Linked DNA regions of Sus scrofa. The main gene of each other region encodes a partner of the protein of the gene in region 3 in a complex. Links are inferred from orthologs where the notes say so. Each region holds a gene or a part of one and is shown on either strand. Other genes may lie near its edges.

The links.
Region 1: STRN3 (region 3) and STK25 share a complex: the UniProt entries of both Homo sapiens proteins name them as parts of the core of STRIPAK complex. The link is inferred for Sus scrofa from reciprocal best matches to the Homo sapiens genes STRN3 and STK25.
Region 2: STRN3 (region 3) and STK24 share a complex: the UniProt entries of both Homo sapiens proteins name them as parts of the core of STRIPAK complex. The link is inferred for Sus scrofa from reciprocal best matches to the Homo sapiens genes STRN3 and STK24.
Region 4: STRN3 (region 3) and STK26 share a complex: the UniProt entries of both Homo sapiens proteins name them as parts of the core of STRIPAK complex. The link is inferred for Sus scrofa from reciprocal best matches to the Homo sapiens genes STRN3 and STK26.

Annotation. Positions count from the first base shown.
Region 1 is NC_010457.5:140,149,983-140,156,386, forward strand, and holds the start of STK25 (serine/threonine-protein kinase 25), read right to left. Parts: upstream 4,329-6,404; 5' UTR 4,242-4,328; exon of another isoform or gene 4,181-4,241; intron 3,715-4,180; 5' UTR 3,644-3,714; coding exon of another isoform or gene 3,593-3,643; 5' UTR 1-3,592. UniProt on the Homo sapiens protein: Oxidant stress-activated serine/threonine kinase that may play a role in the response to environmental stress.
Region 2 is NC_010453.5:67,466,712-67,472,411, reverse strand, and holds part of STK24 (serine/threonine-protein kinase 24), read left to right. Parts: intron 1-1,315; coding exon 1,316-1,501; intron 1,502-3,360; coding exon 3,361-3,506; intron 3,507-5,189; coding exon 5,190-5,319; intron 5,320-5,700. UniProt on the Homo sapiens protein: Serine/threonine-protein kinase that acts on both serine and threonine residues and promotes apoptosis in response to stress stimuli and caspase activation.
Region 3 is NC_010449.5:68,556,503-68,562,202, reverse strand, and holds part of STRN3 (striatin-3), read right to left. Parts: coding exon 5,654-5,700; intron 4,324-5,653; coding exon 4,148-4,323; intron 3,972-4,147; coding exon 3,924-3,971; intron 3,375-3,923; coding exon 3,253-3,374; intron 1-3,252. UniProt on the Homo sapiens protein: Calmodulin-binding scaffolding protein which is the center of the striatin-interacting phosphatase and kinase (STRIPAK) complexes.
Region 4 is NC_010461.5:108,233,513-108,239,182, reverse strand, and holds the end of STK26 (serine/threonine-protein kinase 26), read right to left. Parts: intron 5,381-5,670; coding exon 5,232-5,380; intron 4,036-5,231; coding exon 3,942-4,035; intron 3,559-3,941; coding exon 3,496-3,558; intron 3,414-3,495; coding exon 3,277-3,413; intron 1,939-3,276; coding exon 1,914-1,938; 3' UTR 1,514-1,913; downstream 1-1,513. UniProt on the Homo sapiens protein: Serine/threonine-protein kinase that acts as a mediator of cell growth. Modulates apoptosis. In association with STK24 negatively regulates Golgi reorientation in polarized cell migration upon RHO activation.

The DNA.
Region 1 (6,404 bases), on a different chromosome or scaffold from region 3:
AACAACACCAACTGAGTCCTCCCTGTGCACCTGGAAGCCACACCCCTCAGAGGCCCCTCCAAGCCCCCAGTCAGTCCTGGGGACGGCCACCCCCGCACACCAGGACCCTGAGCTAAGAAATGACTCCTTGATGGGCGATCCTAGGTGTTGGCCTTTATGGAAAACTGCGCCCCTGGTCCTCAGGGCTGAGCCGTGGGTGCAGGGGGCCTGGCAAGACGCAGGACGGTCCCACAGGGGACAAGCCCGCTTTTGACCTTGACCCTCAGTGGGTCGGGGCTGAGACAGCGCAACTCGGGGGCTGCGTGGAAGACACCAGAGCCTCTAGGGCCACCCTTGGTGTTCCCCAGCCCCACCCAAGTGGCCCCCTGAGGGCACCTCACCCCCTCCGCCAGGCTACTGGCCATGTTCTCAGAGGCCCAGCAGTGGCCCAGGGGCTGGAGCCCAGGGACCTGCATGGGGTTGGAGCCCCAGGCAGGGCCTGTGAAGGGTGGGCGGGGAGCCTGGCGTCCAGTCCCGATGGGGGCAGAAAGGGCTCTCTAAGCCCTGCAGGCCTCACACCCAACAGGACACACCTCCCTCCAGAGAGGCTGCCCCCACGCCTCAGCAGTGTCACCGGACGTGTCTTGGCGACCACCTGAAGTGGCCAGAAGCAAAAAGGCCAAATCACAACTGGCTTTGCTGTGGAAGCACCGACCGCTCTGGAGCCAAGGGGGCCCAGCCCTGGGCAGCGCACTGACCTCGGCACGGCCAGCCCTTGGGCTCAGCCCCAGGCGGGCTCCGGACAGAGGCGGCACACATCCCACGTGCCAACAGCTGCCTCCCCAGGTCTGGAAACAGAGGGGCCACGTGAGCCCAAAGAGGGCCTCGTAGGGGGAGCCAGCGGGGCCAGGCGAGCAGGGAGGGCCGAGGGCCAGGCCCCGGCATGGTGGGCCGGCCTCCATGAGGTGGCCAGAGCCAAGGTGCCCACTCGCACCTCCCCCGCGGAAGCTGCAGCCAGTGCAGCACAGGGCCAGGTGGCTGCCACCTGGGTTCCTCAGGCCACCCGTGAGGACACTTTCTCCCCCTGCTACGCATATTCTGAAAGTCCCAGCTGCTCAGCTGTCTTTGGGGTGGGGACCTCGAGATCAGAGCCCCGCCCTGAGTGGCCAGCCTCAAGGACTCTGCGAGCCTGTCACCAGCATGAAGACTCACCAGCATGAAGACGGCCTCCCACAGAGACCAGGAAACAGCCCCCGCCCGCTTGCACCCCCCCAAACCCCTGGGCACTGGGCCCAAATGCCACCTGGCCCAGTGCCCCCACGTCCCCTTCACTAGGCCCCTGAGCACCCAGCTAAGTGCTGGCCTGCAGGGCCTCCACCCCCAGCTCATCCAGCCAGGGCTCCTAGAAACGGTGCCTCTACTTCCAAGGGGGCCTCAGAGGGGACCTGGAGGAGGTGGGACCGAGGCCGGGCAGCACTGTTCCTCGGGCTTTCCGGGTTCCCCTCCCACCCTCAGGCCTCCCTCTTCTCACTGCAGCCTGCACTCTCCACCCCAACGGCTTGACGAGAGGCACACCCAGCTGGGTGCCCAGACCTCCACGGCTCCTGAGGGAACTGGGCAGACCCCTGGACCAGGGGCTCCAGACTCAGCAGTGGGGGGAGCTCTGGTCCCAACGTCACACTTTTTGGGTCCCCACTGCTGTGGGTCAGTCTCCTGAGCAGACAGCATGACGGGAGCGCTCCTGGCTGTGACCCTGACCCTACAGGCACATCACAGGGACACCTGCGGCCAGAGCTGGTGGAAGGAAGGAAGGACAACTGCTCCCGAGCTGGCCTTGCACTCCCCTTCCAGAGACGGGCGTGGTTCAGACAAGGGCTCAGGCTGCTGGCAGTCCAGACCCTTGTCCTCTGGTCAGCCCTGGGCATGCGAGGTCAGTGGCCACTACCAGGCAGTATGTCTGCTGGTCATATCGCCCCACAAAATGAGGGGTGCCCAACGGCCCCCAACCACCCCACGATGGGTGGCAGCCAATGAGCTTCCTGCAGCCAGCCAGACCCTGCGGGCAGGGTAGGAACAAGGAACCAGCCGGGCAGAGGCCAGGAGTGGAGGGCCCCCTGCGGGCCGTGGGGGAGCTCACCGCACTGCCCCACACAGGGACCGCCTCGCAGGGCCACAGTGACAACCCTCGCAAGAGAAAACAATGTCCTGTCAGGCTTCCTGCCACTGACAAAGGCCAAGTCTCTCCGCCCCAGAGGACAAAAGGGGCTTCCTTCCTTCAGGGTCCCTTCCTCAGCTCCTCTGGGCTGTGCTCCCTTCCCTGGGCATCTGGTCTGGACACCCAAGCCAAGCCCCTAGTGCCACCAGCACACAGGGACAGGGTGGCTCAGCTCCAACTTCCTATTCCAGGACCCGCGGGACCCATTTCTACAGCTCTTAAAAATAGCTGAAGCCAGGTTTTTCTCCCAGCTTCTCCGTCATGTAATTTACAAGACACGAGATGTCAAAGATGAATGAAAGACCTGCCAGCGGGCTTCAGCATCAGCAGAAGTGCCAGTGCCCACCTGTGGCACGGCTAGTCCAGGATGCCCTGCCCGGCGGCAGCACGTGGCAGGTTTCTGCGAGGAAGCCTGTTGGGTGTGGAGCCGATCCTGACCCCAGCCCCTCCCCCGCCCCGTGGATACACACTTCCTGCTCCCCTGGCGCCCAGGCCTCGCGGACTCAGCCTGGGGACTCAGCCTTACACCCGAGGACGCTGCCTTACACCTTTCAGCAGGCGGCCGAGGAAAACAAAGCCAAGCAGTGGCCACAGGAAAACCTGGCTACCAGAGCCAGAGCGGCACACTCCACGTCCTACCAGCTGCAGATCACACCTGCTTCCCAATAACAGACAAGAGGAAAGTACAAACCATGTGCCACACAACCCAGGGTGCGCTTTGGAGGGTCCCCCGGAATCAGCCAGTTACCGCTCAAGGCCAGACACCCCCAGATGGCTTTTGCTGTTGGCAATCCCAAGACCCAGTCCCCCAAAGAGAAAGGCAGTGGGTGTCTTCCCAAGGAGCACCTGTGGCCCGGGAGCAGCCCTCTCATCCTCTCCTGTGCTCTGCTCTCCCCGCGCACAGACTCGAGAGCTGCGTCAGCACAGCCCCTGCCCAGCACAACACGGCCTGTGTCCCCGCCCAGGCTGCGGCCCCAGCGTGGACCCTGACCTTGCAGGTCTCTCCAGGTGCAGATTCATGCTCGGCAGGATTCCCACCAGAGCCAGCGGCCCCTGCCCTGTTCCCACCACAGGGCTCTGCACAGCCTCTGCTGCCCCTGCACTGGGGCTCTATTTTGCCAAGCTTGTGGGCTTCTGCCCCACACAACTGGGCAAGCTGGCCAAGCTGAGTCGCCCCTGCGCTCACCAAGTCTGAGCGCCTCGAGACTGCTCCCCGCTTCGCCCACGACGCGCTCCGCAGGACTCCCCCGCGCCTCCCTTCACCCCACGCTCGCCCTCGGAGGGACCGCTCCTCTGAAACCTCAGGATGACAGTCCTGGAGGAAGCGCCCTTGCTTAGCCTCTGCAGTCGGTGCTCCGGTAAACACACACACCCCTCTCCCCGGATGCCAACCCTTACCTGGTTGGCAAAGCCCCTGAGGTGAGCCATGTCTGCGCCGCCCTCCACCATCCGCTGCAACCTCGGGAGGCCCCGAGATCCTGCCTGGAGGCTCCGGAGCCCGGCCCACTCGCTTCAGGCAACTGGAGGGAGAGCAGGCCTGCTCGGTTCGAGGCACGCGGGGCTCCCTGCCGCCCTGGGGACCGGCGGGCCGGCCCGCCCCGGGGGCGGGCTGGAGTCACAGGGCCCCTCCGCTAAAGGCCCCCACCGCCGCGCTCTCCTCATCGCCCCGCTACGGCCCGACGCCTCCCTGAGGAGCTCCCCAACACGGGGCATCCCTCGGCGGCCCTCACACTTCCACCCGCAGCCTTGCTCCTTCTTTAGACCCCTTACCCCGGCCAGGACCCCCGCCGGGACCCCCGCCCCAACCCCGCCCCCGGTGCCCTCGCCCCCCCCCGGCGCCCCCCCCCGGGTCCCCCTACCGCCGAGCTCCGCCTCCAGTGCCCTCCTCGCCGGCCCCCTCGGGGCCCTCCCCCTGCCTCACTCCCCGCACCGCCCAGCCCCCTCCCCAACCGCCCCAGGCGCGGGCCAGCCCGGCAGCGCGCCCACCTCCGGGGGCTCCATCCCGGCCTCCCCCGGCCCGCTCCGCAGTGCCCACGAAGGCTCCCACCCGCAGCCTCCGCTCGCCCAGGGACGCCTGGGCCCTCCAGCCCGCGAAGCAGCGGCAGTGGCGGCGGCGGCCGGAGAAAGCCCGGCGGCGGCGTCAGCGACGGCCCGGGCGGCACGGTGTCGTGGCCCGGCGCGGAGCTCTCTGGGACACCGAGTCCCTCGTTCGCCCTGGGTCGGGGCGCACGCAGACCCTGGACTACAAGTCCCGGCAGGCCATGGGGCGGAGTGGTGTAGCGGCCCGCAAGCGTGCCGCGGTGCCCGCTGGGACTCCGAGTCCGGCTTCCTGAGAAGCTTGGGCCTACGTCTCCCGCCAGGCCGCGGTGCTGGGCGGGGCCTGTGGGGCTGGGGCGGGGCCAGGCGGGGCCCGCCCGGCGGCCGTGGGGTTGGGGCGCCCCCACCTTTCAGCTCTGCGGTCGCCCCCCCCCCCCGCCCCGCCTTCCGTCCTCCGGCTCCCCTTCCGAGGGCCTGGGCTCAAGACTCCAATTCTATCTTTCAGGCCTCTTGCAGCCGCCCGCGTGTCGGGGAGGAACGAATGGGTCCCCAGATGCGGTCCAGACGTGCCCGGGGGTAGGAGGGCAGTGCTGACTCGGGCCATTGCAGGGACCAACCGCCAAGACGGTGGCTAAACGAAATAAGCTAGTCCCAAAAGGACAAGCAGTGCTTGGACCCACCTGTGTGAGGTGCCTGGAGTCCTGAAGACAGAAAGGCGACAGGCGGGTGCCAGGGGCAGGGGCGGGCGCTGGGAAGTGAGTGTTTAATGGGGACAGAGCTTCAGTTTGGGAAGGTGAAAAGAATTCTGGAGATAATTGTACAGCACTGCCCAACTGAATGCTTTAAGGTGTAAGCTATCACAATTCAAAATACGTAAAATTAAAAAGGCATTGTTTTTTGTTATATGCCACAACGTGGATGAAAACGTTATGCCAAGGGAAATAAGCCAGTCGCAAAGAGACAAATACCGTGTGATGCGGCTTCGATGACCTCTCAAGACTGGATCAGTTCAGGAGGCAGAGGTGCTTGAGATTTCCTGGGGCTGGAGGAAGAGAGAAGGGATACACCACAGGGTACAGGGTTTCCATCGGGAGTGGAGACCAAGCTCTGCGATGGCCCCACAACGCTGTGAACGTGCTTGACGTCAGTGACCTGTACACTTAAAATAGTCTCCGTGTGTGCTCTGTGTGATTTACATTTTACCAAAACATTTACAAGGATGCAGCTGTAAAGCAATGATAAATTTGATTTCATCGAATGTTTTAAATTTCGATTTCAGAAAGGCATTGTTAAGAGAATGAAAGGACAGTTCCCTCCTCGGGCGTTAAGGAGCCGGTGTCATCACTGCTGTGGTTCTGGTTACAGCTGTGGTGTGGGTTCGAGCCTTGGCCTGGGAATGTCCATATGCCACAGGCAAGGCCAAATATAAATAAAAAAATCTTTTTCTTGCTTTTTAGGGCCGCACCCACAGCATAGGGAGATTCCCAGGCTAGAGGTCTAATACGAGCTATAGCTGCCAACCTACACCACAGCCATAGCAACGCCAGATCCGAGCCTCCTCTGCAGCCTACACCACAGCTCAGGGTAAACCCAGATTCTTAACCCACTGAGCGAGGCCAGGGATCGAACCCATGACCTCATGGTTCCTAGTCAGATTGTTTCCACTGAACCATGACGGGAGCTCTAATAATTTTTTTTTTTTTTTTTTTTGAAGCTAGAGAAGTTCCCATCATAGCACAGTGGAAACGAATCCGACTAGGAACCATGAGGCTGCAGGTTTGATCCCTGGCCTCTCTCAGTGGGTTGAGGATCTGGCATTGCCGTGAACTGTGATGTAGGTCGCTGGTATGGCTCAGGTCCCACGTGGCTGTGGCTGTGGTGTAGGCCAGCGGCTGCAGCTCCAAATAGACTCCTAGCCTGGGAACCTCCACATGCTGCAGGTACAGCCCTAAAAAAAAAAAAAAAGACAAAAGACAACAAAATAAATAAAATGAGAGAGAGAGAAAAAAAAAGACAAGCTGTGGTTGCCACGGCTGCAGCTGAGGTCGTGACTGCAGCTCTGGTCTGGTCCCTGGCCGGGGAGCTCCATGTGCCATAGGGTACTGGAAAAAAAGAAAAAGAGAAAAGACAAGCTATCAACTGGAAGAAAAAAAACTGCACATCACATTATCCA
Region 2 (5,700 bases), on a different chromosome or scaffold from region 3:
TGGGGGCTCCTGTTTTCTTTGCAGCGCCTGTCGTCTTTGCTGGGGTGGTGTCGGCTGCAGAGAAATCCCGTCGAGCAGAGCTCCTCCAGGCGGCCTGCTCGTTTCGTTCCCATCACACGGTTGGCGTCCCTTCCTCCCCCGCCTGGAGCCAGTGTGGTCACAGCGCAGGCCGGGCAGGAGGGGGCCGGCAGCTCGGCACCGGCTACCCCCTTGATGCCCTCGTTCCTGCCTGCAGTGACCCTGGCCAAGCCTCTGGGTGTAACTGACCTGTCATTGGCCAGGACGTGAGGCTCTAGGAGAGTGTGTGGCAGACAGCAGGAAGGATCCAGATGAATCCAGAACTTGGGGTCCGTTCCTCCATTAGGTCAGTGCCACTGGGCAAACCGGGTATGGTCCATTTAGATGAGAAGAGCCTTAGACCACCTAACAGCCCATTGTAACATCTGGACCTTGTTTAGATCCTGATTCAGACAAACCAACCAGGGCAAGAGTTGTTTTGAACAGTTGGAAATTTAATTAGTACATGGTCTTGAGGGAGTGATACTAACTTCAGGTGTTGGAAGTTCCTGTGGTAGCTCACTGAGTCTGACTAGCATCCGTGAGGACACAGGTTCCATCCCTGGGTTAAGGGTCCGGCGTTGCCGTGAGCTGTGGTGTAGGTTGCAGACGAGGCTCGGATCCCGCGTTGCTGTGGCTGTGGTGTAGGCCGGCGGCTACAGCTCCAATTGGACCCCTAGCCTGGGAGCCTCCATATGCCACGGGTGAGGCCCTTAAAACACGTGTGCATGTTCGCTCCGCATCCCGGGCGCTGTGGGACGTCCCGCACAGCCGCCGGTTCACAGAGGAGCGAGCTGGCGCCCGGGAGCGGCGCTCGTGTCACAGGACTGGCTGTAGAGCTGGCCTTAACCCCAGAGAGCCGGGTGCCTGCTCCCGCTTCTGAGCCATGCCGGGTTCTGGGTATGGCTTGATGGGGTGGCCTGCAGGTGTGCCTCTGGCCCCCAACACGCCCTCTCTGCCCACCTCTGGTTACCTGTGCCCTTGACTTGGGAACTTGAGTGAGCGCGGAATGCCGCCCACCTCCGTCAGCCCAGGAAGGAGGAGGCGTCAGTCACGGTCAAGGCCGTCTTCCTTGTGGACGGCGATTGCTGTGTTGTGAAATTTTCTCCTGTGTGTCGCCTATTTCGAAGTTATACCAAGGGCTCATGCTTACAGTTTTCAGTTAAAAACAAGTGTCTTCGTCGAGAAGCACGTTGAGGTTTTCTCCCCTGGGGACGCTGTCCTGCTCCGTGTCGCTAACAGCACCCTGTCGTTGCAGGCGGACATCTGGTCGCTGGGCATAACGGCCATCGAGCTGGCCAAGGGGGAGCCGCCGCACTCGGAGCTGCACCCCATGAAGGTTTTGTTCCTCATCCCGAAGAACAACCCCCCGACGCTGGAGGGCACCTACAGCAAGCCCCTCAAGGAGTTTGTGGAGGCCTGTCTCAACAAGGAGCCCAGCTTCGTGAGTGTCCCCCGGCCAGGGCGGCTGCCTCCCGGGGCGCCTGCGGCGTCCAGATGCGTCGCGCTGACCTTGCTCCAGTCGCGGTCAGCAGCTCTCTCCCTCGTCTCACCGCTGTTTCTTTTTCGAAACGGCGATGATTGGTTTCTTTGAATGGCAAATCCATTTTTATTACTTTCTCTCTTAAGAATTAGAGGGCGACGTAGTGTCTTTCGGATGTTCTAGCGCCTCCTTCCTCACGGAGCCCGAAGCCTGCTCCCCTCGCTGCCTGCTCCCCTCGCTGCGCGTGTGGACGCCCGCGTTTTGAACCCTTGGCCTGCAAGGCCGGGCTATTGTTAGCTCTTTCAGCAACTGCAAAGTCTGGCCTCAAAAGTAATGGCTACGTATGTCTTTCAAGCGAGTGTTTTGAGTTTCTTCTTGGCCCGCATGAGGAGGGAGAAGAGGGGGCCCAGAAACGAGCCTACCGTGCCTCTCGCCCCGTCCTGCCTCCGGCGTTGCTCTCGCCTCCGGCGGGGCCGTGTGGCCGTGACGACTGCGTGCCTTCAGCCCGCTGTTCTCTCTGCGTTAGGATGTTTCTTTGAAAGTTATTTGTGCATTTTAGGGTCACATGTAACACCGCATGTTCTTGTTTTGTTTCTGAACTTGCCAGCAGGGTCACTGCAGGTTGGGCTGAAATTTCTCACCTCCCTTCTCCCCTCCCCCATCCAAAAAGCGGTGGTTGGTTTCACCAGAGCACCATGGCTTGCGAGTGGGATGGCAGTTTTGGTCACAGGATTAAGTGGGGATACAGCCGTGTCTCGGAACCTCCGGGGGAGGCAGAATCCACCTCTCAGTCAGGCCGCGTGGGGACTGTTCTTTGTGTTTGTGAGGCTGTGGACCTTGTCCCAGCCTCAGAGGAGTCTGTCTTCTCATCACCAATCCATCCCTGGCGTCGGCTTGCCTGCCCGGGACCCACGTCGCCACCCCCACCTTGGTCCCAGAGGCACTGAGAGGCTGGACATGGGGGTACGTGGGAGAGTCTTGGAGTGTCACACTCACTCGGTCAGGGAATGAGAAATGCCCAAAGGGGCCGGGTTTGTTCCAGCTTGAGCTGGAGGCGCATGCCTGGCCCTTTGTAACTCAGAGCAGGTGGGGCCGCGGTCTAACCTGGGTGGTGTGTGTGTCCCTGCTGTCTGCCTGGTTTTCTGGGGCCACATACACCCTGAGGTGGGTTTGCCATCCTCAGGACAAGGCAGTCGGCTGAGCATCTGTGTGGCTGTGGCCGTGCTGAGCCCAGGGCCTGGGACTCCTCGCCCCAATCACACGGCGAGAGGCACCTGGGGGCGCCGGCGTTTAAATTAGGAGAGCTGAGGACCTGGCCACTCTCTCAGCATCCAGGAAAAGGGCATCTCCTGGCTCCTTTCTTCTGGATGAAGTGAAATGAGCATTTATCTTACTATTTTGGGGGGTGGAGTCAGAGACTCAAGTCCAAAGTTGACAGGGTGACAGGGAACACGTTTCCCTCTTGCCAGCATTGGTGTTGATGATTGAACGAGCTCTGAAACGCTCTGTGACGTTTTCTGCGGAAGCGCCCTCTTCCCCCGAAAGAGGCATTTGCCTGGAACACGTTCTCTTGCTGTCGCTGGAAGGTTACCTCCCGGCTGAGCCACCAGAGGCCTCACTCAACCAATGCCGGCACCGGATCCTGCCCGCAGGTGCCAGGCCACGTTCTTGCAGTCTTAGAATTCAAGGACAAAACGCAGATGTAGGTCTGTCTTTGCACAGAAGCATGGTCGTCGGCAACTTTTTAGGGTAGAATCGAGTTGAATGTAGAGAACGTGATCTCATGATGTTCTTGTTTCGCCCGGTGGTGGGTTTTCCAGAGACCTACCGCTAAGGAGCTACTGAAGCACAAGTTCATTATCCGCAACGCAAAGAAGACATCCTACTTGACCGAGCTCATCGACAGGTACAAGAGGTGGAAGGCCGAGCAGAGCCACGAAGACTCCAGCTCCGAAGACTCCGACACGTGAGTCTGCTCAGCTTGAGCCCAGGGTGTCACCGTGTCCCCGAGCCAGGCCACACCTGCCCCGGCCTCTCGGGCCTCCTGTCTGGTTTGGGGTGGGTTCGGGTTTCTTTCTCTTCCTTCTGTCTTTTTAGAAGACGGTCCTGGCTGATGGTGCGTCTCGTGTCAGGATGGGGCTGTATTTGGGTGTTTTTGAGCCTTTTTTTGTGGCCAGTGGGGTTTCTCTGAGTAAAGTCTGTGATAGAGCTGTGTGTAATGAACTCGACTTGGTTTCTTATTCCTTTATCCCTCCAGCTCTTAAAATACTGATCAGATGGAATTGCTTTATGTTTTAAAAAGACAGAGATGAGTGTTTGTGTGATTCTGGGTTGTGCGTGGTGTATGCCTGACAGTGTAAAGGCCCTGTACCAGGAATGGCTCTACACTGGCCTCCTCCGCTAGGAAATTCCTGATCTGAAAGGCGCCTTAGGTCAGCCTGCAGGGAGGGGGTGCTGGGCCGGCTGCTCTGACGTGAGAAAAGAGGCAGCATGAGAGCGGCGTCAAGAGGGGCTCATCCTTGGCACCTTGTCTGTGCCCCTTCACCCCTCGGCCAGAAGTGCAGGTGGACGCATGGCCCAGGTCCACGTTCCAGGCCCATGGGGTGAGACCTAGAGTGTTGTTCAGGGTCGCAGGCAATTCCATCGTGAAGTCAGCAGTGAGAGCCACTGGCTGGGCCGCTGTCGTTGAGGTCAGGACATTGAGTGCTGGGGTAGTGGCGAGGGGGACGGATGGGGACGAGGCGTCCAGGCCTTACCGTGGCTCTCGGTAAAGGAGCTGGAGGCCATCCCGGCTTCCGTCGCGGGTGCCCTGACGTGATAACACTGGAGAAGATGCTGGTCCGGGGGAGCCAGGGTACCGGAAGCTGAGTGGGGACACATTTGGACATCCAAGAGGATGTGTTCAGTTTCGGGCAGCAGCAAGGTCTGGCGTTGAGGCCAGCTGCCCCAGCACGTGGCCCGCCTTAGGGTCGCGGCTCTGTGGGTGGTCTCTGGACGCCCGAGAGCACGTCTGCCGGGTGAGAAGGGCCAGGGGCCTGGGACCAGCTCCGGGGGAAACACCAGCATGAGAGGTGGCCGTGGGACTGGACGGGCGGATCTGGGTGCAGTGCCAGCCCAGGAGTCTGGAGACTCTGGAGGGGGTGAGCAGGGGGTCCTCGCTGCTGAGCGTTCAAGCTGGACGAGGACTGACCAGTGGTTCCTTGCCTGGTGGAGGCCTTGGCTGTGGCGGTTGTGGGGGTGGGGTGGTTTTGGAGTGAGTGGCAGGTGAGAAACGGAGGCGAGGCCTGCAGGCCCTGTGGCTGCGGGCAGGCAGGTGCGCTGGGTGCGAGTGGATGTGCTGCTGGGAAGGAGCCCAAGGGGAGGGGTTCAAGTCCGGGAAGGGCAGCCGGAGCAGAGGGGGCGGTTCTGGAGAAGGGGCGGGAGGCCTGGTGCGGGAGGGGACAGCAGCCGCACTTGGAGGTGGCCTGTCCTCTGTGAAGCAGGAGGCCCGGGAGGGGCTGGTGGGGCTGGAGGGGCGTGGAGAGGCTGGAAGCAGGTTTGCAGTGCGGGGTGGAGACAGGCACGCCCGGTGGCTGGGTGGCCTTGGGTGGAAGTCCCCATCCTCGTCCCGTCCCCTGTCCAGGGGACTCACTGGGATTTCTGTGTTCAGGGAAACGGACACAGATGGCCAGGCATCCGGAGGCAGTGACTCTGGGGACTGGATCTTCACAATCCGGGAGAAAGATCCGAAGAGTCTTGAGAATGGAGCTCTTCAGCCGTCGGATTTAGAAAGAAATAAGGTACGTTTACGGTACTTGTGACTGACGCTTGTCAGCAGTCAGCAGGGTTTTGGAGTCGCTTGTGTAAAGCCCGCTGTTTTCATGGGCTTGTGGTCCCTCACGGCGGCCTGTTGCGGAATTTTGCTGTCAGGGAATTGACAGATCAAGAGATTATGTTGTGTCTGACTCCCCAGCGCATCAGACCTGAGAGCATGGACTCTGGTCTGTTCTGCGGTGCTGCTGTTTCTGCTCTCGTAGCCCGGCTGTCACGTCAGCATTTCCTGACGCTCGACCTGCAGGGGGAGCGGGGGAGGCGGGCTTCCTGTTCGCAGACACTTTCTGGCTCCTTGACGGGACTGTGTTTTACATGTTGGTTGCTCAGAAGGTACCGTAATTGTGGGA
Region 3 (5,700 bases):
CAAATATGCTCCAAACAATTACACCAACCTCCCACCAAATAGTAGAAAAATATATTGAATAAACATGCTTTCTAACCTCCCATTTATTCTTGAAATCACTCCGATACCATCACACAGCAAAACAACCCTTGCTAAAATAACCAATAAACTCTATTCTATCAAATTTAATAAAAACTTGCTTCCCTTCCTCCCTCCCTCCTAGCACATTGCTTTTCATCCATAGTGTATGCCTTGAAAGGTTACTTAGAAGTCCCTTCACCCCTTAGCCCCAACCCAATCTATATTGTCTGGCCAAAGCCTGGGTGACCTATTTGTTATTTACAAAAAGGAACCTATCACATTAGACTTTTCTTATTTATTGAAAATGACTACTGCAGACTGCTTTCTTCTTTTCAAAATGGCTTCTTCTTCTGGTATGCTTTCATGATTCCACACTTACCTGTACTTCCTCCTACCTCACAGGCCACTCCTTCTCAGTTTTCTTCATTGCCTCTCTTGCTCTAACTACTCCTGGCCCCCAATGTCAGAGTTCCTCAGGATTTTGTCTTCTCTTTCTACTCTACATGACATATTCTCCCTACATAATACCATCCATTCTCACATCTTGATACTGATATACTTACTTAAGATTACCATCTCTTAACATGCCAAAAAACTGAACTCACCATCCTTTATCTTCTCACACCTGTCTGTCCCCATTTCAATATGCTACCATCATATACTCAATTGCTCATGCCAAAAATGCAGGAGTGGTGACGAAAGTTCTGAAATAAACAGTGGTAATGGTTGCCCATCCCTGTGAATATGGTAAAAACTACTGAAATGTATACTTCAAAAGTGTGAATTTTATCATGTGAATTGTACCTAAATAAAGCTGTTAAAGAATAAGTCACTCATCCATCATTTCATCCACTTAATCCAATTTATCATATATTCTGTCTATTCCCCCCACCTCTCCAGCATGTCTTTTTTTTTTTTCTTTCATAATTGAGAATTTTATTGTTGTTTTGAGGCTTAGTACATGGACATTTCAATCCAGCATGCCTTAAATCCATTTCTCTCCAAGTGCTCTGCTACCACTGCTCTACGACCACTCTAATCTTGACAACATTATCTCTCACCTAATCTACTGGAATCACTGTTACAACTTTACATTAAATGACATTGATATTTTTTTCTCCACTCTTCCCACCCCCAATCTATTTTCCTTGCAACAGCAAGAGTTATCTTTTTAAATTCTACATTTATAGGACACTTCCTAGCTTAAAACTCTTTACTAAACGTTTAACTTTTATTCTCTAGATTTCAGCTTGAATGCCATTATTTTATTCTACATCTAAATAGGGTTCTGCCTGTTACTCTCCTCTCTTGGTAGGTATCAGTTATCTTCATACCATACTTCATACCATAATGTGTAACTATCCATCCCCTTGCTTATGTGTTTAAGGCTTATCTTTTTCTATTAGACTAAGTTTTCTTTCTTTCTTTGGTCTTTTGTCTTTTTTTTAGGGCCGCACCCATGGCATATGGAGGTTCCCAGGTTAGGGGTCGAATCGGAGCTACAGCTGCTGGCCTACACCACAGCCACAGCAATGCCAGATCCTTAACCCACTGAGTGAGGGCCAGGGAATCAAACCTGCAACCTCATGGTTCCTAGTTGGATTTGTTTCTGCTGCACCACAACAGGAACTCTTTTATTTTTTTTTAGGGCTGCAGCAGCAGCAGCAGCATTTGAAAGTTCCTGGGCTAGGGGTCTCACTGGAGCTGCAGCCTTATGCCACAGCAACACTGGATTTGAGCTGCATCTGCCAACTTACGCCACACCTTGAGGCAATGCTGGATCCTTAACCTGCTAAGCGAGGCCAGGGATGGAACCCGCATCCTCATGGATACTAGTCAGGTTCTTAACCTGCTAATAAGCTGCCAGGGGAACGCCAAGTCTTATTTCTTGATGTATGCTTAACACTACACCTGGCAAATTTAGGCCTCAAGTGTGTGTTAAATAAAAAGATCAAAGAGCTCGTGAATTCTTTTTAAATGAGCCAGTGATTAAGTAGACCACGATTTACTTAACCATTCTCGCACTAATAAACATCTGTTCCATTTTAATTTTTTTGATTATAAACAATTGCCCTTGTATATATTTTAATGTGTGTGCAAATATTTCTGTTAGTCAGATTCCTTTTTTTTTTTTTTTTTTTTTGTCTCTTTGCCTTTTCTTGAGCCGCTCCTGCGTGGCATATGGAGGTTCCCAGGCTAGGGGTCCAATCGGAGCTGTAGCCGCCAGCCTACGCCAGAGCCACAGCAACGCGGGATCCGAGCCGCATCTGTGACCTATACCACAGCTCACAGCAACGCGGGATCCTTAACCCACTGAGCAAGGCCAGTGATTGAACCCGCAACCTCAGGGTTCCTAGTCGGATTCGTTAACCACTGCACCACGACGGGAACTCCATCTGTTAGATTCTCAAAGTGGCATTTGTGAGTTAAAGCTATTGTTGCTTTGTCTTTTTAGGGCTGCGCCCGTGGCATATGGAAGTTCCTAGGCTAGGGGCTCAATTGGAGCTGCAGCTGCTGGCCTACACCATAGCCACAGCAACACGAGATCTGAGCAGAGTTTGTGACTTACACAGCTCACAGCAATGCCAGATCCTTAACCCACTGAATGAGGCCAGGGATAGAATCTGCATCCTCATGGTTACTCCTCAGCTTCGTTTCAGCTGAGCCAGAACGGGAATTCCAAAAGTTTTGTTTTCTTAACTAAGGAATTTTTTGGTCCTCTAAAATGTTCACTGATTTACACACTCTCATGTCTCTATTTGTTTTTATCATCTCTCACTAAATATTTATGAACTACATAAACTAAGTTTTAAAAACTGTTTCTTGTACTAAATGTTATTCTCCTTACCCATAATGGAAAAGATTCTGAAAAAGAATGTGTGTGAATATGTGTGTGTGTGTATGTGTGTATAAAAAACAGAATCGCAAAAAAAAAAAAAAAACAGAATCGCTGTGTTGTATGCCTGAAAACTAGCACAATATTATAAATCAACTATACTTCTTGCAAGATAAATATTCATGGCATTGTATTTCTTAATTTTTCTCTTTCATAAAGCAAATTGCTAGTAAATCAAAGTACTATTACTAGTAAATGAAAAGACCAATGTATCTTTAAACGATCTTATAATAGTTGAGGTAATTATTTTTGTCTGCTCCATCCACTTAAAAAAATATCTTGAGCCTTTTACTTACCATATGTATCATATGGATCCACATTAGGACTAGGCATATTCCACCACTGGATAGTTGCATCAATACCACCACTAAAACACTGTTCACCATTAGAACTAATAGCTAATGATAGAACAGGACCACTATTACAGAAAAAGAGGAAAACAATTACTTACAAAGACTAAGAAGAAACTCATATCTGCATCCCCCCAACCTTTCTCTAAATTTATGTGGTACCTAAAACAGTTTAGATAAACACATACATTTGAACAATACTGATTATATTCTTACTACACAATTATTAATCGAATGAAATATTAGTCAATTAATCTATCTTTTCTTTTTTCTTTTTTCCTAGGGCCACACCCAAGCATATGGAGGTTCCCAGGCTAGGGGTCTAATCGGAGCTGTAGCTGCTGGCCTACACCATAGCCACAGCAACGCGGGATCTGAGCCGCGTCTGCGGCCTATATCACAGCTAATGGCAATGCCGGATCCTTAACCCACTGAGCGAGGCCAGGGATGGAACCCACAACCTCATGGTTCCTAGTCAGATTCGTTAACCACTAAGCCACGATGGGAACTCCCTCTAATTTAAAACAAACATGAGAAAATTGCAAGGCTTCAAGATCGACAAATAATAGTTAACAAGAACTATGATTGTTAATTAAGTACTAATTCAAAAAACTTACATGTGGGCCCTAAATGTGTAGATAGGCTCTACATCTAAAGAGGCACTCCTAAAAGAGGGGAAAAAAGGGGGGGGGACAAATAATCGTAAATCAGTGGTTGATATTCAAGAGTCACTAGGTAAGATCAAACGAGTGCATAAAAGACACAGGACCATAAGAAGAATATTGCTTATAATTAGCAAATTTGGAAGGAAAAAACCACAGGTTAACATTAAAATACTTGCTTTTTGGCAGGAACTGTTTTTTGCAAGTTCCAAAGTTTCAGAGTATGGTCCTCAGAGGCAGTAACCAGCACAGGTTCTACAGGATGAAAAGCTAATGCTCGTACTCCATCGAAATGGCTACGTAGTGTATACTTGGGGTTCCATGTCTTTCGAAAGGCATCTTTATTGGCAGGCAACTAAAAAGAAAGAGCACAATATTTAGTGGTAAAAGTAGTTAACTGATAGGCATGTGGAGTTTTTGTTTGTTAGGGTGTGTTTAAAATACATATTCAAAACTGCTTTGTTAAAATTAAAATGTCCAGTGGAAATTTAATGTACCTTAAAAACTACAACAAATCTTTTGTCATTTAATAAGAACTAAAAAGAATCATTTCATTAGCTTGCAAATACCTAGTCAAATGAAGAGCTCCTTACCTAATTAATCATCAGGCTAAACCCAAAGTCCTATTAAATGTCAAATGAGAACAACAAAAAAACTATCATGCTGTAATACTTTACATGAAAACAAAAAAAATTACATAAATTACTACCCAAAACCCAAGGGGACAATATTAATTACTGTACAATACAGCTGTCATTTAGAAAATTAACATGTGACATTTTTCAAGGCAGCACGTGAGGTTACTTTACAAAAGTCTGAACTAAAGACACTTTGTTGATACTGATATGAAGTTTATCTTTTTACCTTCATTTCTCCATCTGTAAAGATAGGCTGTGAAACCACTTCTAAAGTAGTCAAAAGTTTATTAGAATTTAGTTGTTTAATGCTTTAAAAACATTAATGAGAATAAACCAGCCCACCCAGGCTGATGTTTTTAAAAAGCATGCTAATGTAAGTAAAAAATTCAGAAAAAAGAAATTTGTTATAAAAGGAAAAAAATTAATTTGCTGAAAAACTGCAAATTCATTAATATAAAATCTAAACAAATATAGTTAACTCTCAATTGAGTGTTTACTGTCTATAAAAAATTTAATTCAAGACTAGTTTCATCTCTAACACTGTCCTACCCATACCCCTTCCATCCACTCCCCATCCCTCAAATGAAGGACTATATATTCAGGAAATGACAAGCTAATGTGTTAACATTATCCTTAAAAAAATAAATAAATAAAAAATAAAACATGCTTTTTGAGAAGTATCCTGAAAGCAAATAAGTGATTCAGGTTACCTATTTTTCTCTTGTTAACAGCAAAATACAGCTTAATTTGAGTAGGTAATTGAGAGTTGACTACTCAAGGTAGATATTTATCAACCATTACTTTAAGGTAATTAATCACCCCAAACCTCTAACTAATGCACCAGAATACTCAAGAAAAATTCAAACACTACAAAGAAAGTAGCTATAAGAAAAAAAACTACATGTCACTTCAAATCAACATACTGTCGACACTTAAAACTTATCTTTTCCATGCACCTTGACATTAATTCTGTTTTATAAGTGTTTCCAAAAAATAAGGAGCCTTCTATTAAATCATTAAAAAAATTAAAAATAAAACCGCACTTACATCATAACTATAGTCTGCATCATTTGTTACCGTCAAGTCTGCAAGGT
Region 4 (5,670 bases), on a different chromosome or scaffold from region 3:
AAAAAAAAGACTATCTTCCAGTTTCCAATGGAGACACTGGTGTTAAAGTTCCAACAATAAATTAAAGGGCCAAGGAGAAATAATTTGAAAAAATTAAAATGTGATACCATGCCCCACCTCAAGAAAAATGCCGAGGACCATGAAATTTAAATATTTATTTTTAGCCCCCCAAAACACTGAAGTACGCTTCACCCAGAAACAGTTTACAGGACTAATAGCTCTAATGAATAAGCAATACAATTTTTTATCCATGATGCAGTTGCGCTGTAAAGTTTCAAATTATCAATTTAAAAATTTGTTGCTTTTACTTTTACAAAAATATTCATTTAGTACACGATGTGATTTGCAAAACTATTACCAGACCTCTACAAATTATAAACTGCAATTACATAGCGTTACACAGCAGCTGAAAATTTTAACTGAACTATTACTTCAAAATACGTGTTAAAAGTAATTGTTACAGTATAGGCACCAATGCAAAAATCTGCTGGGCATATGACGCGCAATGAACTACTTATTCAAGTGTCTGCATTATTACAAAAAAAGGAGGAGGTAATGGCCACTGTAAAAACTATACTCTTTACTTCAAGAACACCTTTCTTCTAATATTTGGCAATTATTCAGATGTATTAAAATGACTTTTGTGCAAAAACCAAATTGTGCAGATCCAAACAATAAAACATTAACTATTAAAACTAATCAATATCAATAATTCTACAACTACTGAAATATAGCCCCACTTCAGAACTTAGGCAAGCATAATATATATACTGGGCTTAAAGGAAAAAGGTATTACCCACGTAACAGTACCATAAATATAACTGAAAATTTAACTGTACAGTCTAACTTACCTTTGTGCGGGCAGAAATCATCCTGTACTATGATTATTTTCATGTGAATCAAAAAATGCTTAAATACCCTTTCAAAAATGAACAAATGATGCTTACATGTACTGGATAGTTTGAAGAACAAAAAAAAAATGTATAAATAGTTTATAAGACATTTTACTACCATGCCAAAAATATGCTGGTGTAAATTATAGTCATACCTGTTGATCAGGTATTTATGATCACATTATGATCAGCTTCTTTTGAGCTCCCCAAATCCAAGCATATGATATGTGATTTGAGGTGATTTTAAAAATGAATCCTGACTAGTTCTTCCAGTATTACTAAAAAACCCATCCTCGGCTAATTGGTATTGCTTTAACTTTCCAACGTGTTAACTTAAAGAAGGGTCAATTGCCTCTTCTAAAAGAGAAGGTAAATACTGCACACCAAGAGGTACCTCTGTTGCTACATGTTGCCTATAAATGCTTCCAACACCGGGCTCTCCAATGTGATTGTCACTGAGCTGCCTGGAATACCATCAACTTGGTAGAAGAGTCAATACCTTTCCAGATGTCATTTCTAAAAGCTTATCAAAAAAACTTCTGTTTTAAGAATGTCTGACTTGTCTCCACCTCCCTTCCAAGAGTCATTTTTAGAATATGCTTGTGTTAAAAAAAAAAAGCTTTTTGAAGCTTGATGACTTACGAAAGTTGAATATTTAGGATGACTGTGAAATACCTGTATGTTTCATGAGTGTACAGTTAACTAAAGATCAAAACATGAAAGGTATTCATCCTAGTAACTTAAGTAATAATGATACCTAAAAGCAAAACTGTATCTCAACCTTTTCTAGAATACAGCTGAAACTATAGTATTAAAAGTTATTTCTTACAAAATAATCTCTTTAAAATATAAAATGATAAACACCATCACAAAATAGTTGAATAGCTTCTTTCAAATCTTCAATGTCGCAAAGATCCAAAAGGCACATGGAGCTCATGAGTTAAGCATTGTTAAGCTTGAAGTAGCTTTGGTGGGTTTCTCTGGGTCCATATGAAAGAGAAGCCAATAACAAGACATTTCTTAGGGGGATTCATCTGCTGAACACCTATAAAATTAAGAAAAACTTAAATTGATATATAACTATGCATGTGCACATTTTTCATTCATATGAACTCTGCAATCGAGTTGATGCAGCAAACAATTTTTTTTTCTATTGCCTCTCATCATGTAGACATTAAAATAGAAAGGAGTTCCAAAATCCCTTCTGCGTCCGATTTTACAACTTGCAACTGATTCGTTTGCAAGCTGGCGAAGAGAGGGCAGGTTTTCCATTAAAAACGAAAGGATTTTAAGAGGGGCTTTAGCTGATGAGTACAAACAGACTTTATCAGCAAGAAAGATCTAGGAGAGTATGTGGTTTACAGGCTGTCTGGTCTGTTCCAACTTGATCCCAGTGGCATCACAAATACAAAGAAGTGATATAACGAGATTAAGGCTGAGATTAGTACTGCTCTATAACTTGCTTGAGCTAAGGAATTGCGTGTGTTTGTACATGCATACAAAAGTCTTGTTTAAAAAGAGAATTAAAAAATTAAATGGAAGAACTTCACTGAATGTGAACAAAATTAAACCAACACTTTAAGAGGCACTATAGACACTGAAATATAGACATGAGAACCTTTCAGAGTCTTCACTGAGTTTCTATACCTAAAATTCTTTCCTTAACTTTTCTTATGGGGGTTAAACTTGATGAACTTTGGCACTGAAACTATGTGAATAGCAGTGCGATAAGAAGAGTGGCAAGAATGAAAGCATTTCTAAATGGTATTTACAAGGGTCCAAATAAGATCATGCCCTGTGACCTTTTGTCTATACGCCTGCCTACGAACAGGGAAAGGAAAACAAAACAAAACAAAACCAAAAAAAACCACAGGCCATTTCATTCAGTGGCAAACTACCTTGTACTGCCCGAAGAGAAGAATCCAAAAGCTAGTGTTGAAGATGGGCCACAAACAGAACAGGTTTCAAGTATGTGACTATTAAGAATGGACTTGGTTAGGAATAATCGAAATGACTGAATCAAGTAGGTAATTATGACACCATAAATGAACATCCAGCAGTAACATGTCAAAATAGTTGTTTTGTTCTTTTGTTTCCTTTTGCTTTTATTGGGGGCTGTACCCGTGGCATGTGGAAGTTCCCAGGCTAGGGGCAGAACTGGAGCTGCAGCTGCCGGCCTATGCCACGGCCACAGCAACCATGTCAGATCCAAGCCATTATCTGTGACCTATGCCACAGCTTGTGGCAACGCTGGATCCTTAGCCCACTGAGCGAGGCTAGGGATCAAATCTGCATCCTCAGTGACACTGTCGGGTTCTTAACCCGCTGAGCTACAGTGGTAACGCTCCAAAATCGATTTTAAAAAATGACATTTCAAGCTTACTTTTGAAATTTTTCAATTAATTTCTTCACCATTTTATCTGTGATGCCAGGACAGGCAGCTTCGGCCACGGCAATGCTTTTCTCTAGTTCTTCAATTGCCTGATTCCTGCTAGCATTATTCTCATCCTGCTGTTTAAGCTGAGAAAGATCAATAATTATAACATTTACAATTACTATACTTCTTCAAATAGATCTCCAAAGCTAATGAATCTGTACTTACTTCAGCAAATGCAGGTGTGATTATCATAGACAAACAGCTCAGGGTTTGCACAAGATCTTGCTCCTTTGAACAAATGTTATAAATTATATACATGAAATGAAAATAATCATTCATGTGTGTTAATTTGCATCCCTCCCCCCAAAGACCCAATGTAAGGCAAGTCTTCATGCTTTCTTCCCATCAATAACTCCCATCTATATCATCCAGAGGCCTCTAACTTCTAGGATTCCAACTGATAGACCTGTTTCCACCGGGTTTAGCTATCTCTAGGGAAAATGCATTTTAAAACATACCAATGGCCACTTAAAAGACTTCTCTGATCATTTCTTAATTAGCTCAAAACTAACGGACAGGCATTCAGGGGTATTCGATTCTAACAATGTTTGGCCATCATAATCGCACTATCTAGTCCTAACAAGAGGAGGTGAACATCTGGATATACATACTGCCCCGTTCTGTAGCTTCTTTGGATCAGGCTTCTTTCGCACGGTGGTAAAGCTCCATTCGGGATGAGTATTATTTTCCCTGGTGGTGGATTCCCTAAAGAGATGGCCAAAGATACTTCCATAAGTTCCTAAATGGTATAGGTGGTGAAAATACCAAGTCAATGCTGTCAGATTCTGAATGGAAAACTGTCCCGATGTGTTAAAAAATCATTTGATCTTCAGCTTCAAGTCGACACTACTTTCTACGGGACAGCAGCAGTGGTTCTCAACTCTAAAGTGTGTACCAGAATCACATGTGAAGACCTCTAACTCCATAATATAAAGGCCGGCCCCCACCCCTTCCCACTGACTGGATCAGGATCCCCTGTAGTGTGGCTTAGTGATTTGTTTTTTTTTTTTTTTAAGGCTTCATGGGTGAGTGTCATGGGCAGCTAAGGCAACAGAGAGTAGAACAGGGTACAAAAAACCATCCTCATTTTTTTTTTTTCTTTTTAAGCCATTGCACAGCACATACACTTCCTGGGCCAGGTATCAGATTTGAGCCGTGGGTATTAGCAATGCCGGATGCTTAACCCACTGTGCCAGGTTCCCAATCCCTCTGTGCCACAGTGGGAACCCCTATCCTGATCTTTTTTTTTTTATCCTTTTCAAAAGTTGGGAGATTTCTCATAAATGCAGGTATTATCTAAAAAAAATTGGTGTTACCTCGGTATCAGTTCACCCAGTGGAGGAATAAATGCTGGTGTAGCCGGCAGACTTTTTAGGCTGAATTAAGTAAGTTATGGACTTAGAGGCTAAAATGGTAATGTAAATTGCTGCAGCTAAAAAACAATGCAACATTTTAGGGGATAGAAATCAGATATAAATAAGTATGTACCAATCTGACCATTTTGGTACATGGCCAAGAAAAGTGGGAAAAGTTAGTTCTCCAGAGGGATTTTGCAGGTTGCCTCCAAAGTATGAGAAGACATAGCTCCGTATCACTTTGGGCAAACTAAGAAAACACCTTAAATTGAATCTTGTTCCAAAATTTTGTAATATACTTAAGTATCCACTAGGGGTTAGACCAAGACCATTTAAAACTAAAGCAATTCATTTCTAAGAAAAAAATCTGTTTCCAAATTCATTGTGCTCTACAGGTTGTGATTTTAAAAGATGGCCAGTTTCTAAAGTCAAACTCTAGAGCAGAGTTTATATTTTATGCTTGGGAAAGCATATTGGATTGTAGTTAAAAGATGTTGTAATATTAAAATGTGCTGTCTACATAAAAATTGAATAATTTGCACGTACGAATCAGAGCCTTCAGAATCAGATTCATCATCACTGTGTCCTTCTGCCTTCCATCTCTTAAATCGATCTATCAGCTCGGTCAGATAAGAAGTCTTCTTTGAATTTTTTACGATGAATTTATGTTTCAGAAGTTCTTTAGCTGTAGGACGCTAAGGAACAAAGAGGCAGGATGCGTGAATATTTCTAGGCTCTATGATTGCACGGAGTGATAAGAAATCATTGCAGTTATTAAGCTGAAAGGCATAAAAGCATGTCTGTAGACAGGAAGACAACTAAAATGTCATAGGACACTAGGTAATTCTATTTCTGAAGTGGCTCAAGGCAACCAAATTAAATTCGCTACTTTGCTGCCCACTTGTTACAGCCGAATGGGCAAAAGGTGGCCTACCTACCAGCAAACGGGCAGGCAGGGCTTTCTTAAAAGCAGAGAAACACATGG